2 linked regions of the Caenorhabditis elegans genome follow. Changing the gene in region 1 together with any one later gene gives a genetic interaction. Each region holds a gene or a part of one and is shown on either strand. Other genes may lie near its edges.

Region 1 (7,637 bases):
TCAATCCGACAACAGGTGGAGCACCTAGTCTCAGTGGGGTTTCCTTTCGGGTTTGCAACTACTGTGGAACGTGTCAAAAGCCCCAATAAAAGTATACCGTAACCTAGAATGTTTTGAATCTGAATTCATTTCAGAATTCGTTTCCCACGACCTTCTATTATCAAGACGTCAAGAAGACGACCCCCAGTAATTATAGAGTCATTTCGAAGATGATCGGTGTTGACGGGAAAGTCATACGGCTACAGTAATCCTGTCTCTGTTAAACTAACTATGCCCATCAATAATCCGTTAAGTTTGCTCAAGTGTACTGTGACGTAATCGGAACCGATAATTACAGGGCGCTATTAGTGGTTTGTTACACTTGTTTGTTCGGGTTATTGTTGCATTAGAATATGGAAGTACTTACCTCCGTAACCGGATGGACAGCTTGGTTTTAGTAGACTGTTTCCGTTAATGTCGCAATCTGAAATTTACTATCATAATTATTCTGTATATTAGAAAAAGTTAAGTCTAGGATATTTTTGTGTTGAACTGGAATAATTATCTGAATGAATAATTGTACTACAATAATCACAGTTCCCTACAGTATCCTGCATTACCACTACAGTACACATACAACATGTATCCACTAACCTCATTCCAATATCCTTTCAAAAAACAAAAACACTTTTTCAGAAACTACAGTACTCCTACATTACCCATATGAACTCAAAAGCAGACAGTTATTTTTAATATATAAATTGATCTATCCCTGTAACCATTCCACTTGTATATTTGCTTATTAGCCTAGTCGTACAATAACCAAATGTATACTTTCCCACGTCTGCCACTTCTTCTCCGACAGACTTCTGCTACATCAAATCCTATATACTATCATCATCTGCTCATCATTTCTAGGTCATTTATCCCACTTTTTCCCAAGAATTGGCAACACACACGAGGCGCCATCGGGTCGTCGCCCAATTCACCGCCCTCTTCACACATACCGAACATCAGACATAAATCGCGCCAAAAAGAAGCGCATCGACAATAGAGAAGCGCGCATGAAACAGAGAGGCTAGGAGGGGCAGATGACCTAGGAGCTATCTATCAGGCACCTTACGCGGTCACTTTTAACGCCGCCAACAAGACAAATGAGCTGAAGAGAAATGGAAAAAGATTGGCCGCGCTTCAATTTGTCCTCGATACAAACGAGTCATGATGAAATATTGAGGTGTTTGGTTGCCGTAACTTTGTTAAATATCTACTAACTACAGATTGATGAAGTTTGGAGCAATACTCATAAATGGTTTAACGGAAAACGATTAGTAAAATTTTTGAAAGTTGGGAATGGTAAGCGCATAAAGTTTAAAGCATAGTTTTCGTAAGCTTTCGAAATATGAGGAAATGCCTGCCTGGCTACCTACAAGGCAGCCTACGTCTGTTTCGCATAAATTACACATGTAGCCACAAACTTCCAATCTTCTAATGTCTTCAATTTTTGTTGAATTTTCAACATCAATCTACAGCAAACTACAGAGTTCAAGCTAACATTTAAAAAATTAGACGGTAGGCCGGCAAGTCAGCGTGAAGCAGACATTTAGACCTGTATACGCGTTGCCTATAGGCCTATTGCTATTATACCTGTGATAGCTTTAACAATGAGTAAGTAAATTCTTATTTTTTAATCTTCGAATATTTCGTTTAGTCTTAAAAATGATACAATTCCTAGTTTCTTAACTTCCATTGAATTTTCAAATCCACCTATTCACTTTCAAATTATTATTCACCCCCAACTTTGTCAGTTGTTTGCCACAATTCCACCAGGCATGTGCTTATGATGGATGGTGTGGTCAAAAAGATGACCGACAAAAGGGCGCGCGCAGCTGACCCTAGTTTTGGAATTTTGGGCCAAAAAAACATTTCATTCGCAACACCGCCACCATGGAGGGCTAAAAAAAATGAGTGATGGGTGTTTAGGTCCCTATGGGAATTGGGCAAAAAAGTGACCACTACTGGCTCATTGGTTTTGCAGGAAAATGAGATGCAATGGGAAGTGTTGTGTATAAGTTATTCAGCTCGAAATTACATTATCTTACCTTTACAGACACAGGTCTCCATCCGATAATCTTTGTCAAAAACACATTTCTCATCGGCTCCACATTTTGAAACATCACACTGTTGTTCACAATATTCACCACCAAATCCTTCATCGCATCTGAAACATTGGGAAGGGTTAGGGTTAAAGATTAAAGACGTCGTGCAGCCGAAAGGCACCGTAATCCTATTGTTTTATGGTTTTATGACAACTGATGGTAGGCTCACTCGACAGTATGTTTTGCCGACAAAACTGGGAACACGGCTGTAAAATTGTGAGGTGGCAACTGAGTCCTCATTTGTGATAAGATAAGCAATTTTGAAGACTATTCTTTTTCTCATTCAAAGTCTCAAAATGCCGAGTAAAAGTGGCATTCGTTGCAGTTTTCCGAAGTTGCCAATTGAAAGTAAAGCAATTTTCAGAAAGTGCAAACATTTTTCTATACTTCTATTTAAATTTTCGGGAAAAACTTTGACAGATAATACATCTGATAGGGAGTTCAAAACCAGCTACAGTAATCTTACAGTAACCCCCCATTGGTCATTTCTTTTGGGAACTTGGTCATAAATCCTACCCCATTCTTTTTTGTTTGATAAGAAAAATGTGGAAGACCAGTATTTTTTTGTCATTAAGAAGAATTCTCCCCTCAATTTCCCGTATTTTTCGGTTTTCCCATGGCAATAAACTACCGATTTGGGTGATTTTTTGGCGGCGGTGCGAGACCAGGAGGGGGAAAAGCTGCTTCTCTTTCGCATTTTAATGAGAATCTCAGCGGGTTAATTGCCTGGTTTTTCTTCGACTTTGAGACGAGAATTGGCAGGAAAAAAATGGCTGAGAATTGCTTTTCTGAAGTTGATTTATCCAAAACCCGACTTTTTCCAACTTTCCCATAACACCCTGAAAGTATTGTTTTTACAATATTTTCCCTCACTTTTTCCCAAAAAAATTGAAAGTTTTTTCTACAGCGAGGGACGACGCAGGTGTCTCCTCTGTGGGGTTTTTTCTCTCATTACTCGCTCATTTCTCTTGTTGCGCAAGTTTCGTAAATGGTGGGAACCCGTGCGAACAATGTCCTCCTATTAATTAACATCAACTATAAATTAATGGTGTGTTGTTCAAGTGACACGTGTCTCTACTTGAACCATATCACCTATCTTATCAGGAGCTAGCTGCTCAACGGAGAGCACATGCCGCTATAAATCAAGACGGATTACGTAATTATTGTTTGAAAAGGGCATGGATTATGGAAGAATAGTCTACTGGTACAAACAATGTTTTGTTATAATTTACAGTACTTCTTTTACTAGTATTGCACCTAGCTACTTAACTTTGTAAAGTTATAACTCGGTTAATTTCAAAGATATAAAAAGAATTGCCGTATTTCCTCTAATAGTCTTGAATAAAAGAATAATAGAGGAAATACGGTAACTACAAAACGGTAGCAAGAGAAATAACAAAAATTTGGTCAGTTGACAATTTTGTAAAGGAAATCCCATAATTCCTAGGAATATTCCTTACCCCCAATTTATTGCGTATTTTTAAGATTAGTTTTCAAAATGTGTAGATTTGTATTATTTATTTTACGTTGAATTAAAATTTGAAAAAATGTTTAAGTATTGTTAAGCAAAATCTTCACATACCTGCACCAATAAGAAGTTTGAGTTCCATTGACAGGTCCAGCATGGCAGTGACCATTTCTTCCACATATTAAGCCAAGACATGAGCCAATATGAAGCGATTTTGATAACGAGATAAGAAGAAATAAAAAACAAATCGTAGGGATCCGCATTTTTTGAAATTGAGCAAAGTCTGTTGAGCAATAGGGCGGACAGAGACAGGAAATTAGCTTTTAGATATGGATCATGTAGGTTCTGAAAATGGTTTTGAATTATTTAATTTAGTGAATTCGTTGTTTGAAAGTTGACGACAGTAAAACGGTATAGAAATGCAAAGGATCGGACCGTACTAATATTGCACCCCTGTTATTTAGTGTTGACAGCTTATATCTCAGTTGTCATTTGTTCTAAATAATAATTGTCAGCTGACAAAATATTTTTTCCATTGTGCAGAAAATCAGTTTTTGATATCATCAAAATGAGCGGAGATATTACCTTTCAAAGTAAAGTAGTGAGTTGCAATACTAAAAGAGGAATACAGTCATCGTCAACTAACAAACAAGGGCAAAATAGAAGGAAACAGGATCAATTCTTAAAACTATAATACTTGGCTCGAAACATTTTAAATATTTCGTGAGAGCTGTAGGAATATATTATTACCAATAAACGAAACCTAATAAAACCCAAACCTGGTAGCTTTTGCATTATCATTAATTAAGGATAAATAAATGCCAATCAAAAAATGGGTGGCTATTGTTATGTCTTCACCCAGTAAAAAGGACGAGAGAGGGCGAAGGGGTGGGGGTAGGATGAACACAAAAGAGAGAGAGACAGATGGCTCCGCCCAACTTGTTGCGGTCGCGGTGCGGCCACCAAGTAGACTTTTTTTTCATCGAGAAAGAAAAGGAGGAGAAGATGATTTTAAAATGAAACGACGATGTCAGATGGTTGGATGAAGTAGAAGTAGGAGGAGGTGGAAGAGAAGAGAGTGGGAACGGAAGGAAGAATGATCAAGATGAGGAAAACGAACTGCTGGGAACGTATGGTGATTTGCGGCTTTTGGGTCTTTGTGTGTCAGTTTTAGAGTTTTATTTCTGTTTATTTCTGTTTATTTCTGTTTATTCGGATACTTTATAGTTTTTAGTTTTATACATCAATACTTGCAAAAAATTTCTAAGCTTTGTTCAAAAAGTAATATCTTGGTTTTATCCATTTAGGAACAACTGTAAGATTGTATAAATGATTTTTAGCCATTTTATAGGCGGAAGAGATTTTTCATAGCTTTTCCTGTTCAAAAGCTGAAAGAGCTTGAAAATACTAAACACATCGAGTAAGAATTAGAAAAAAAAACAAATCAAAATATTGAACACGCTTTTTCCAAGGTGTTTTCTAATCTCTCTATTTGAATTACCTCCAAAACGAGAACTGCATGGCCAATCAGCAATTCGCTCTGCCCATTCTTCAACCAATCAGATTAAGTATGGAAATTCCGAAGTCGCTAATTGGTTCAAAAGTGGGCGTTTGTTTTTGGCGGGAATTCAAACAGATTTGATCATTTTTTGATTATTTTTTTAACTGTTTCACACAATTAAATATAACCTTATTCTCGACAATTAATTGCTATCTGAACCAAATTTGTTGCAAAAATTCACGCATAGTTGTTGCTACCAATTAACTACTATTTTCCCAAAACACGGAAATGATGGATGAGCCAACAGGAGCACAGGTGTCTGTTACTGTGGTGTCATATACATGTGACGTGACAATCAACCGGCAACTTTGAACTGTCGTCGACGGATTAGTCTCAAGACCTCTTGACTTGATTTATTGGCATGGGAACCCGCCAAGGAAAGGTTTCAAAAATAACAATATTGTTAATAAATGAGTGTAACATTTAAGAAAACATTTAAAAATGGCATTAACAATAGCTCTATAAAAACCTGGTTTTTTAGAAGGCCGTTATTAATTATCAGCTTTGGTGGTATTTTGTTTTAAAATAGTCAAATCTTAAAATTACCACAAAAAAGATAATAGGAAATCTTATGAAAATGAAAAAAATGTTGCTGAAGAAAATTCAAATTTCCGTTATATTGTGAATGGGGCTACCTTGTTCTCCTACTTTTATTTGCACAAGTGCATCATCATCTGTGTCCTTCTATCTCAACCATTCATGATTATTTTGTGTTTTAGTTGATTTTTTACTGATTGATCATGCATCTAAAAATAATGGGAAAATGTTTTCAAAACTAACCTTTTAGTGGGAAATTGTGAGATTATTAGCGTGGGCGCATGCCTCCCCAAAAAATGTTGTTATCAACGTACGTAGTAGTAGAAAAGAAGCCAAATGGAACAAAACGAAAAAGAAAAAGAAATCGAAAATATGAAACAAATAGAAAAGAATCAACATTTCGGCACAAGATGGCAGATATTGAATATTGATTGATTCAGGTACACTTATACAATCTCCAGTTGCACAGGTGGAATCGTCATATTGGACAATCTGGCAATATTTATATACACGAAGACCTTTGTCGATGGTTTATTGCTAATTCGATTACAATTTTGAGTCATTGTTAGGAAAGTAGAGGTTGCAGATGTTTATTGATCATTTCATAATTTTTATTAAAAGTTTTTTTTCTCTTTTCTGAAAATTCAATCCGATTTCAAGCATGCTAACTTTGAACATTTTTAGATTTTTCTAAATTTTCAGTCAGTTTTGGTAATTGAACAAATTTTTCAAAATGACTTTCTGAGACATTTTGAGCCATGTCGCAGAAACCCTTACAATGCTTGAATATAAGCCTTTGAAATATAATTAAAATTTTAAAAAATGATGGAAAATCCATTTTTCATTCTTCTGGCCAACTTCCGAAATCATGATATGGAAAAACAGAGTCATCTACACTTTTCGACTGGAAATGAATATCTTAAGATTTAAGATTTGTTAAGATTTCGAAATTTACTTGAATTATAATGTTCAACAGCTTTAGCACTAGAAAATGATATTTTCTCATTTCCCACTGGTGTTACTCCAAATTAAGTTGAGCATAATAACTTCTATCATTTGATACTTTGATTCAAGTACGGCTCCTTCGAAATTTCAATGCATAAACTCGCAAGTTTAGAACTCCAGAAAATGTATGAGGTTGGTTAAGACCCCAATTTCTTCTTCCGGTTTATTTGTGCACAATGATGTAACACGAGAGAGTGTTACCATAACTTTTCTCGACTTTATACATTAATCTACAGTAATCCAACAGATACGTGTTATGTTAATCCTTCCGGATTCTGTTCAACATATAGTGAACTGACTGAGTTAATTTTTAGGGCAATAAATCAATCTATGTAACTGTTTGAATGAATCTATAAAACTTGGGTTGGAAACTTGGGTATTTGACATTTTTTATGATTTGCCATCATTATTTAGAAAGTGCTTCAAAGAATCACCGCTTTGTTATTTATGAAGAAAAACATTTTGACCTCTTTAATACCACAAATATTTATTCAAAAATATTATTCAAAAAAGAAAACCGGGATCATACTCTGTAAAAGTGAGAAATAAAACATCATATTTCCAGTATTCGTCTGCTCCCTACAACTCGAACAGTTCATATCGAAATTTATTAATTTTAATAATGTTTGATAAAAAATTGAAAAATTTTCAAAAGAAATGCCGGGAGTGAGACTAATAGAAGAAATGCGACAGATATCAAATTATATACAGTAAATCGATTTTTTTTCATGCTCCGACACCAGGCGCATTTTCATTTTTCTTTGACATATCCACAAGTTCCAACGATTTATAGACTTGTGACTCAATCTTCTTCCCATTTAACTTCTTCTTTGTCCATTTGAAAATAGTATCAGCAATTCCACTGATTAGCAAGAAGAATAAGAAACCAAGTAGAACAAGAGCACAGCACCATTTATCGATTTTTTGATTG
Region 2 (7,651 bases), on another chromosome or scaffold:
GATATTCGAGAAGAAGAAGAAGAAGATCATCTATGCTCTTGTGTTCTCCAATTATTTGTAGAAATTTCGAGTTAGAATTTGTACCGTTTCGAATTTAAGACGAATCTTTCAGCTTAGCTTTCTGGCTTGTGAAAACTTTCAAAGTTTTGCATGCTCGCCCTCTAGATTTGAAAGCCTTAATTTAGTTAAAGCATTTGCTAACGTAGTAATTAGGAAAAATAAACTTTGAACATGAATTCATTTTTTCCGATGGTAACCCATGAAATCTACAGTACCTATAGAGATAGTCCAGACCTCCTTAAAAAATTTGAATTTTCTTTGAGCTGTCGCCTTGAATATGTTAAATATGTTCAAACTATTCAATCATTTCGTGTCAATTTTGAATATAATTCAAAACTTTTTGAATGTTTCCTTCTCCAAAATCTCCCGCCCTTTAGCAATCCCCCATTGCTTAATCCGATCTTTTGAACACCTTATTCTACGTCTCTCACTCTATTTTCATTTCAACTTGTTCTCATTTTTGAATAGACAAACTTCCGGAGAGAACGATTACGAATTCTTCAAAACTTCTTGTTTATCCTTCACATTTCAATGGTCCCATTCATACCCTTCGTACCTATGGGTGCCAGAGCTCTTCACACCCTTCTGTTGGCTCAAATCACCATTTTCCTATTTTTCTTCTCTTGGTTCATCCACCCATTGTTGTCGTTGTTGACGTCTAAAGAGGAAGAAGGAAGAAAGAATATTTCTAATTAGAGGTATCCCTCCAGATGTGCCATCTTTTTGGCACATTGGAATCAAGTACAACAAGCGGTCCTAGCTAATCAGATTTCTCTTGTTCCAACTATATGAGCATATGCTAATTTTCTTCATTTTCTCTAGAGTTTTGTTCCAAGTTGTTTTGCAAAATAGGAAATTAAAGTTTAAGAAAGTTCCAGCATAACGGTGAAGACAACTCAAAACCCGATCTGCCCGTATTTTGATTATTAGGACTTTCACATCTAATAGACTCCTATCAAAACTTTCTTTTGATAACTGTACCATACTATAAATTTTTAGATTGTATTGAAAATTTGACACACATAGATTTTTATTTAGCATAGAAGCTTCTGAGTGATTGAAATGCGACTAAACTTTAGTTTTTTGGGAATATTTTTAGTACTACAACATTTCCAGCATGCCTATTCAAAAACAATTCCCACCAACAGAATTCCGTACCAACTCAACTCAATTTCCAATTTTCTTCTCCTACGGCTACTTGTTGTCCATTTTGATTATAATCGTCTATTTCTCTCATAGCTCCTTGTGCTCAACGCCTAATCCTCTTCTCTGCTTCCAACAGCAGCATAAACAAATTTTCACACTCAAGGACCCGCTTCTTGAAATTTCTCTCTTCTACATTCGGTGAACACAATTCTGAAGCAGCACGAGCAGGAGCATGCACTTACTTTCAAATTCTATAATAATCATTTTGCGTTTCTCTTTTTATCCGATTTACGCTCTCAGGGATGAATGCTCCAGTGTATCTAGGATTTTGAGAAACATATACAAAATTAGCTCATGCTGAAGGTTTCGAAATATCTACTGCAGATCACACATGTTTTAGGAACATACATTTTGGCCAATTTGTTTATATCTACCGTATCATTTCTAATAAAATTATTGTAATCATTTACACGTTCTGAAAGTTTTTTAATCGACCTGAAAATATTTGTTCACATAGTCGAAAGGTTTGGAAACCTGCCCATGAATTTACGAACGTTCATTGGACTTTCTGGACATGTGACAATTTTTCAATAATTTAATTAGAAGATCCATGATCTCATATTTTGTGCAATATATAAATGTTTTCTCTGAAATTTAGCTGTTCTTCTTCGAATGGGACTCTCCCAGAATTCCCGTTTGAAATTCCATTCAGAACATCAACAGGAAGCATATCATTTGGTTTTCTCACGTTATTTCCGGAGTTTGTTTTGGACCTTGATTTTCAAGTATAAATTGGGATTTGGTTTCTAGTATTAAAATGACAAAGTGAAATATTAGAAAAAATATTTGGAAATAAAATCATGCAATTAAACATTTTAAGAACACCATTTTAAAAATTTTACAGTTGAGTTTTTTGATGGGTGAAACACCTAAATTTTTGACAAACTTTCGTCATAATTCCACTTTCTTACTTTTAAAATAAGTGACAATCTAGTGTATATCCAGCTGTGTCAGGAAACTCAATTATTTTCCAAATTGCTTTATAAGCCTTATTAGACAGGTGTGAAAACCCGTGTATTACTAAAATTGCATGAAAGAATGCTCATCTTTTCTTCTCTAAATCTCTTTTTCATTCAATTTTCTTCCATTTTTCATCACCAACTCTTTCTTCTAACTCATTGCTTCACAACTCTTCGTGCTCCTGCTCATTTCTCAGTCATCCATCACATTTATTTTACATGCAAAATGAGTGGAAAAGCGCATCAAAATGTGTACTACTAATATGAAAATGACTTTTTTCCCGTCTCTTTTTGTACTTCATCCTCAATTCATTTCGATTTGAGAAAAAAAGTTTCATTGGTGGTCCTGAAAGTTGTCATCTAATGAAAAAGACCTGCGTCTCTTCTGGAAATGAATTCAGAATTAGAAGAGAGAAAAGTTGTCGAATTCATGACTTAAGAAAACTGAAATTCTATACTTTTTCTTAAATTTCCTCTCAAATTCTCATGATAAATTCTGCGATTTCTGAAATCTCACCTGCCATTTCTCAACTTTTTTTTTAGCCGGCTTAAGCTTTATACTTCAATTCAACTTTTGCTTCACTGAACTTTATGAATTTCTGTTTTTTTAAAGTAATATTTGAATTACCTTTTTTTATGTTACTGGTGCTGAAATTCTCGATTCGAATAAATTTTTGAACTCTGTATATTACCATCTCGTTCCATTTTTTAATTTTTATACCCTAAATCTTGAATATTCCAGAAATGTCTCCCCGACCAGAAGACGACGATCTCGTGATAGAACCAGCCGACGATGAGGGTCTTCACTACGGAAATGCATCGTGAGTATTACTGTCTTTTGATACGATAATTATAGTAATTAGATACGGGTGGTAGAAACTGTAGCTGCCTATTTTGGCAACAAACGGTTCGGTTATTTACTATCAGATTAAATGAATATGGGTCAAATACAAGTAGTTTATTAGATTGCCTCAAAAACACAAAATGCTTAAATCTAGTGAGTCTATAGATGTACAGTTTGCTGACTACAAAAATTTTTAACGACCTCTAAAATGCGCGTCCACCTCTTGGCGTATAAAATATAAACTTTAAAAGCATTTAATCAGTTCATATAGATTTTCATATATGTTCATATAGATCAGTTCATATAGATTTTCAAAAAATGTATTTAAAATAAACCCAATTACTTCTTGATTTCTGAATAAAACCATATGGTTACCGCCATCCGTTCCCACATTCATCAAGCTCGCCCGATGAGTATTATGCAGTATGTGATCTTCACCGTTAGAATCTTGATTATAAAAATAATGTTCAATGGGAAATTTTTCTGCAATTCTCCCTCCACCCAACTTATTATCTTCATTCAAAATCTTGAAAACTTCCGTCGTGTCGACTTCCCATTTTTCATCTTTTTGACAAGTTTGCAACTTGCGATTAGTTTTAGCGCAATTTTTATTAGATTTTGAGTTAAATTAATTGCTAAAGGGGTCAACTTCGAAAGTGATTTATTTCAAATTTTTGTGAATTTTAAGTAGCTAATACTTTGTCAATATCAAAAATCAAATCGTTATGAAAATAATTTTTGGCTCGATTTTTGCCTAAGTTATTTTAACTTGTTAAAAAAATTGACAAACTTTATATAGTGCTTTTAGGCAAAACGTGGGCAGAAGCTGAAACTCGCTCAATTTTTTCCATTTTTCGAGCAATACTTGGATATGGTCTCAGTCAAGTGTTACAAATTTTTTCGCCAGTTTTGTATTTTTAAGAGAAAAGTTGTGTAATATTTTGGTGCCAAATGCCGATATCTCACATTTTTGATGAATTTTGGTAATTAGATATAACATCACGATCCAAAATTTTCCGTTAGCACCCATTCTTTTGGAAATTTCAATTATTATTTTTTCATCCATATTTTGTACCACTATAGAGCATCAAAATGTCATTCCGGATGCGGAAATTGGGTTAACTGACACAAGCTCATTTCCCTCAAACAAACGGAGTGACATGCCCATATAATGGATGACCATTCTCCCACCTCTTCTGTTCTACATATTGCATAATCCACTTGACACCTATATACATCCACCAACACCCGGACGTCTTCCTCCTCTTTCACCCATACAACGGACCACCCCCACCCTAACCGTGACCATCTCCTCTCTCTCTCTCTTTCCCTAATATCTGACAAAACGGACTGACCTCTGCCTTCTTTCCTACTGTCAGTCATCCCCTGTGTCTCTGCGTCTCATTGAATCAGTATACTATTTCTCGGGGATTCTGTCGAATGGGCCCTCCCCGCCAAACGCGCTCCGCACATTCATCCGACGGATGGACTACTCGATTTATAATTTATTGGCCTTGTAATGATGACACATCGTAAAAAAGAAGTTAATTTATCACTATTTATTAGTTTCTTTTTCTAATTAATTTATAACTTTCGAATCATTTTTGAACGGTTTTTAGTGATTAGAAAACAGTTTGATTCCAATATTAAGGTCTTATTACTAATCTATAATAGGCATTTTAATACTAGCTTGATTTAGTCTGCTTAATCCTAAATATCGTTCAGTCAATCCGCACTTCTCCTCCCCGGAAATGAAATATTCCTAAACTTGAATTAGCTGAATTTATCTTGAATTTTTATTTTGGTTTCTAGGTTTAGTGTACTAAAATCCTGGAGATAGTTTTAAACAATCTTACGGTTTTTAACAAACCTCCATATTTTGCCATTTGGAGAACTATTCTTTAAGTGCGCAAGATTTGTTTCCACAACTTTTAACTAAATTCTAAATTATTTTTATATCTTCAGCCTCACATGTAGAAAAATTTGTCAAAACTTACTTTTTTATATTCGTTATCAAATCTCTTATTTTTCTTCTTCTCTTATCACCGATTCCATTAATTTGACCTGACAGCCGAGCATGCGTTCCACATCTTTTACGTCATCTATCTATTACCATTCCATCTTCTTCCCGTATTCCAAAACTCCCTTCACACCTTTTGTCTATACTTGTTTCCCAGGCTCTGTCAGTATATTTGCAATTGGATCAATATCCTATTACTCCTGAATAGGCTAATGGAACTCGCATTTCGATGCGAATAATAGTCATTTAGGTGGGCTATTATTACTGACTAGTGAGTCTCGTGTTCAGGTTTAGATGAAATTTTGTTTTGAGGCAAGGTTATACCTGATAGAGCATTTTTGATTTCGAAATTATTTTGCTCAGACTGAACTATTTCCATTTCTTTCAATGGGTGGCAAACTGCAGTTAGTCAATTCACAGTCAACTTTCTTCAGGCACAGAAAAATTGAGTGATTTTTTAAATTTTCATATTAACAATTCCACCAATTGCAAGTACACCCAACAACCGAAAGTGATTGTAAGATCAAAACATTGGGTTGAAAAGTGTTTGTATCTATCTCGGTCTCTTCTTCTGTAGTAAATTGTGCCTAACACACTGTTTCAATGTTTGTGATCCACTTTCCAATTCCGTTCTCATCATCATGTTTATCCTTGTCGGTAGTCGGCTTTTACTGGCTCTCTGTAGAGACTGTGATGATCTTTTATAGGAATTTGTGATTTGTTTGGACAACTTGGAAGTCAATTTTTTAAACTTATACTCCCTAGAAAGATTATTTTCAGAAACTTCTTAGTGTAATTTTTCTTATGTTTCTATTATAGTTGCCCAAAAAATTTCAACACCAAAAAACTACATTGCTTGATTCCAAATTTGAAAATTCGAAATACAAGTCACATACACACTCTCAAATTTGGCACCATGAGCCCATTCTCCATCTCTCTGTGACTCTTCGAATTTCCCCATGTTCTTTAGTTCATTGCAACTCCATCAATCTTCATCATTATTTCAACTATTTACGCGCCCCCAAGTCTCGCACACACACGGACAACTTTCGTGATTTAGTGAGTGAGCACAGGGTCCCTTTGGTGGTAGAAGAAGAAGCGAGAATGAGGAGCCAATGGTGGAGAAGGAGCAAATGTTCGATTAGTTTTGACTGATGCTCTTTTCATTGCTTCTCCTCCCTCCCAATCCATCCGACTCATTTCTCATTTATTTTCACTAGAAGTGATGGAGAGAGACCTAATTAGCTTGTACTCTTCTTCCTGCACGAGTCTTGGAAATTAAATTTGTAGCATTACTACCAATAATTTGTTCATGTTTACAAATAATTCCAAACATACAATAGTTTGTAGGTTGATGCTAGATTCAAATTTAAAAATAGAGAAATCTTTTTATTTTGCTCCGTTGCAATGATGCTCGTCTATCAATGTTTTTTATGTACTTTACCTTTTCTTGATCAATTTGTTCTAACTTTGATTACCCTCTAAAATGTTTCATTCAAACCTTTTAAGAACCAAAATTTCTAAGCAATAATCTCCACACATCTGTTTATCCCCTCTTCATCACCATTCACTGAGAACATAAGCATACAAAAAGCGTACCCTTTTCCATCACCCCGGGACCATACACACTTGATCCGATTATTCTAGGGCTCTTGAGCAGTTTTCTCCGTGTCGTCGTTGTCGATAAGTGCAAAAATCTGCTCAATCTTCGCTTGTTTGAACAATCTGTCATTTTTCGGAAGCTGGGACATGGGACAAGATTTTGAGTTTTTTTTTTGAGATGCTATACTTTGTTGTGAAATTTAATGTTTTTTTGGATTTGATCTTAAAGTTTCCACTGAAAAATTCTATTGAAACTTGCTGGGAATGCGAGTTTTTAAGGTTTCTTAGAAATAAATATATAATTGCTCCACTTTTAATTCAGAGAAGAAAACGGAGAATGTAACTTGAAGTCTAGATAGGCATTTTCTAAAAACCAGGGTGGTTATCATAATTTTTGGCGAGGTTTTCTTGGCCCTCCACCATTCATATATTTTTTTTGGATATTTGATCTTTTGTTCAGACTTGATCTACCAAATCTTTAAAATTGAGTTTTCTCGACCGCTTCTTAATTTTTTGTTTATTTCTTTGCATTTTTCTCTTTGGTCAAGAAATTGTTTAAGTAATTTTATTTATTGTTAAGTTTCTCTAAAGATTTGGGTTTTCCAATGCCAACCATCATCCTTCTAAAAAATTCTAAAGTTTAGAGCAAAACTTGAACGACTACTAGCGCTAGTACTCCAATTCTTTTCAAGTCTCCACTTATTTTAATATGAATAGAAATACAAAGTTCTCCTCTCTTTCTTCCTATTTCGGACAATTTCACTTTGAAAAGAAAAGTGTCATCTCCATCTCTCTGAGAGCACAACTATTCTCTGCAAGTTTCTCTGTAATCTCGTAAATTTATGTACTCTCTAATCGCCTGTCCAATTTCACTTCATTTTCGGGGACTCTAGGAAGAGACCGAGTTGTGCTGGCTATGCGACATCCCACTTGTGTGAATAATGAGCTACTAGTTCCTAC

Evidence for each region.
Region 2: of lin-12 (region 1) and cam-1, changing one suppresses a phenotype caused by changing the other (phenotypic suppression), as found in Caenorhabditis elegans (one study listed by BioGRID).

The regions. Positions count from the first base shown.
Region 1 is NC_003281.10:9,067,523-9,075,159, forward strand, and holds the start of lin-12 (lin-12/Notch intracellular domain), read right to left. Parts: upstream 3,951-7,637; 5' UTR 3,867-3,950; coding exon 3,718-3,866; intron 2,198-3,717; coding exon 2,079-2,197; intron 464-2,078; coding exon 407-463; intron 1-406. Other genes in the region: F02A9.7 (CX domain-containing protein), read right to left, coding at 7,433-7,637. UniProt on the Caenorhabditis elegans protein: Essential signaling protein which has a major role in many developmental processes; involved in cell fate decisions that require cell-cell interactions. Probable membrane-bound receptor for putative ligands lag-2, apx-1, dsl-1 and osm-11.
Region 2 is NC_003280.10:9,305,620-9,313,270, reverse strand, and holds the start of cam-1 (Tyrosine-protein kinase receptor cam-1), read left to right. Parts: upstream 1-2,966; 5' UTR 2,967-2,969; coding exon 2,970-3,046; intron 3,047-7,651.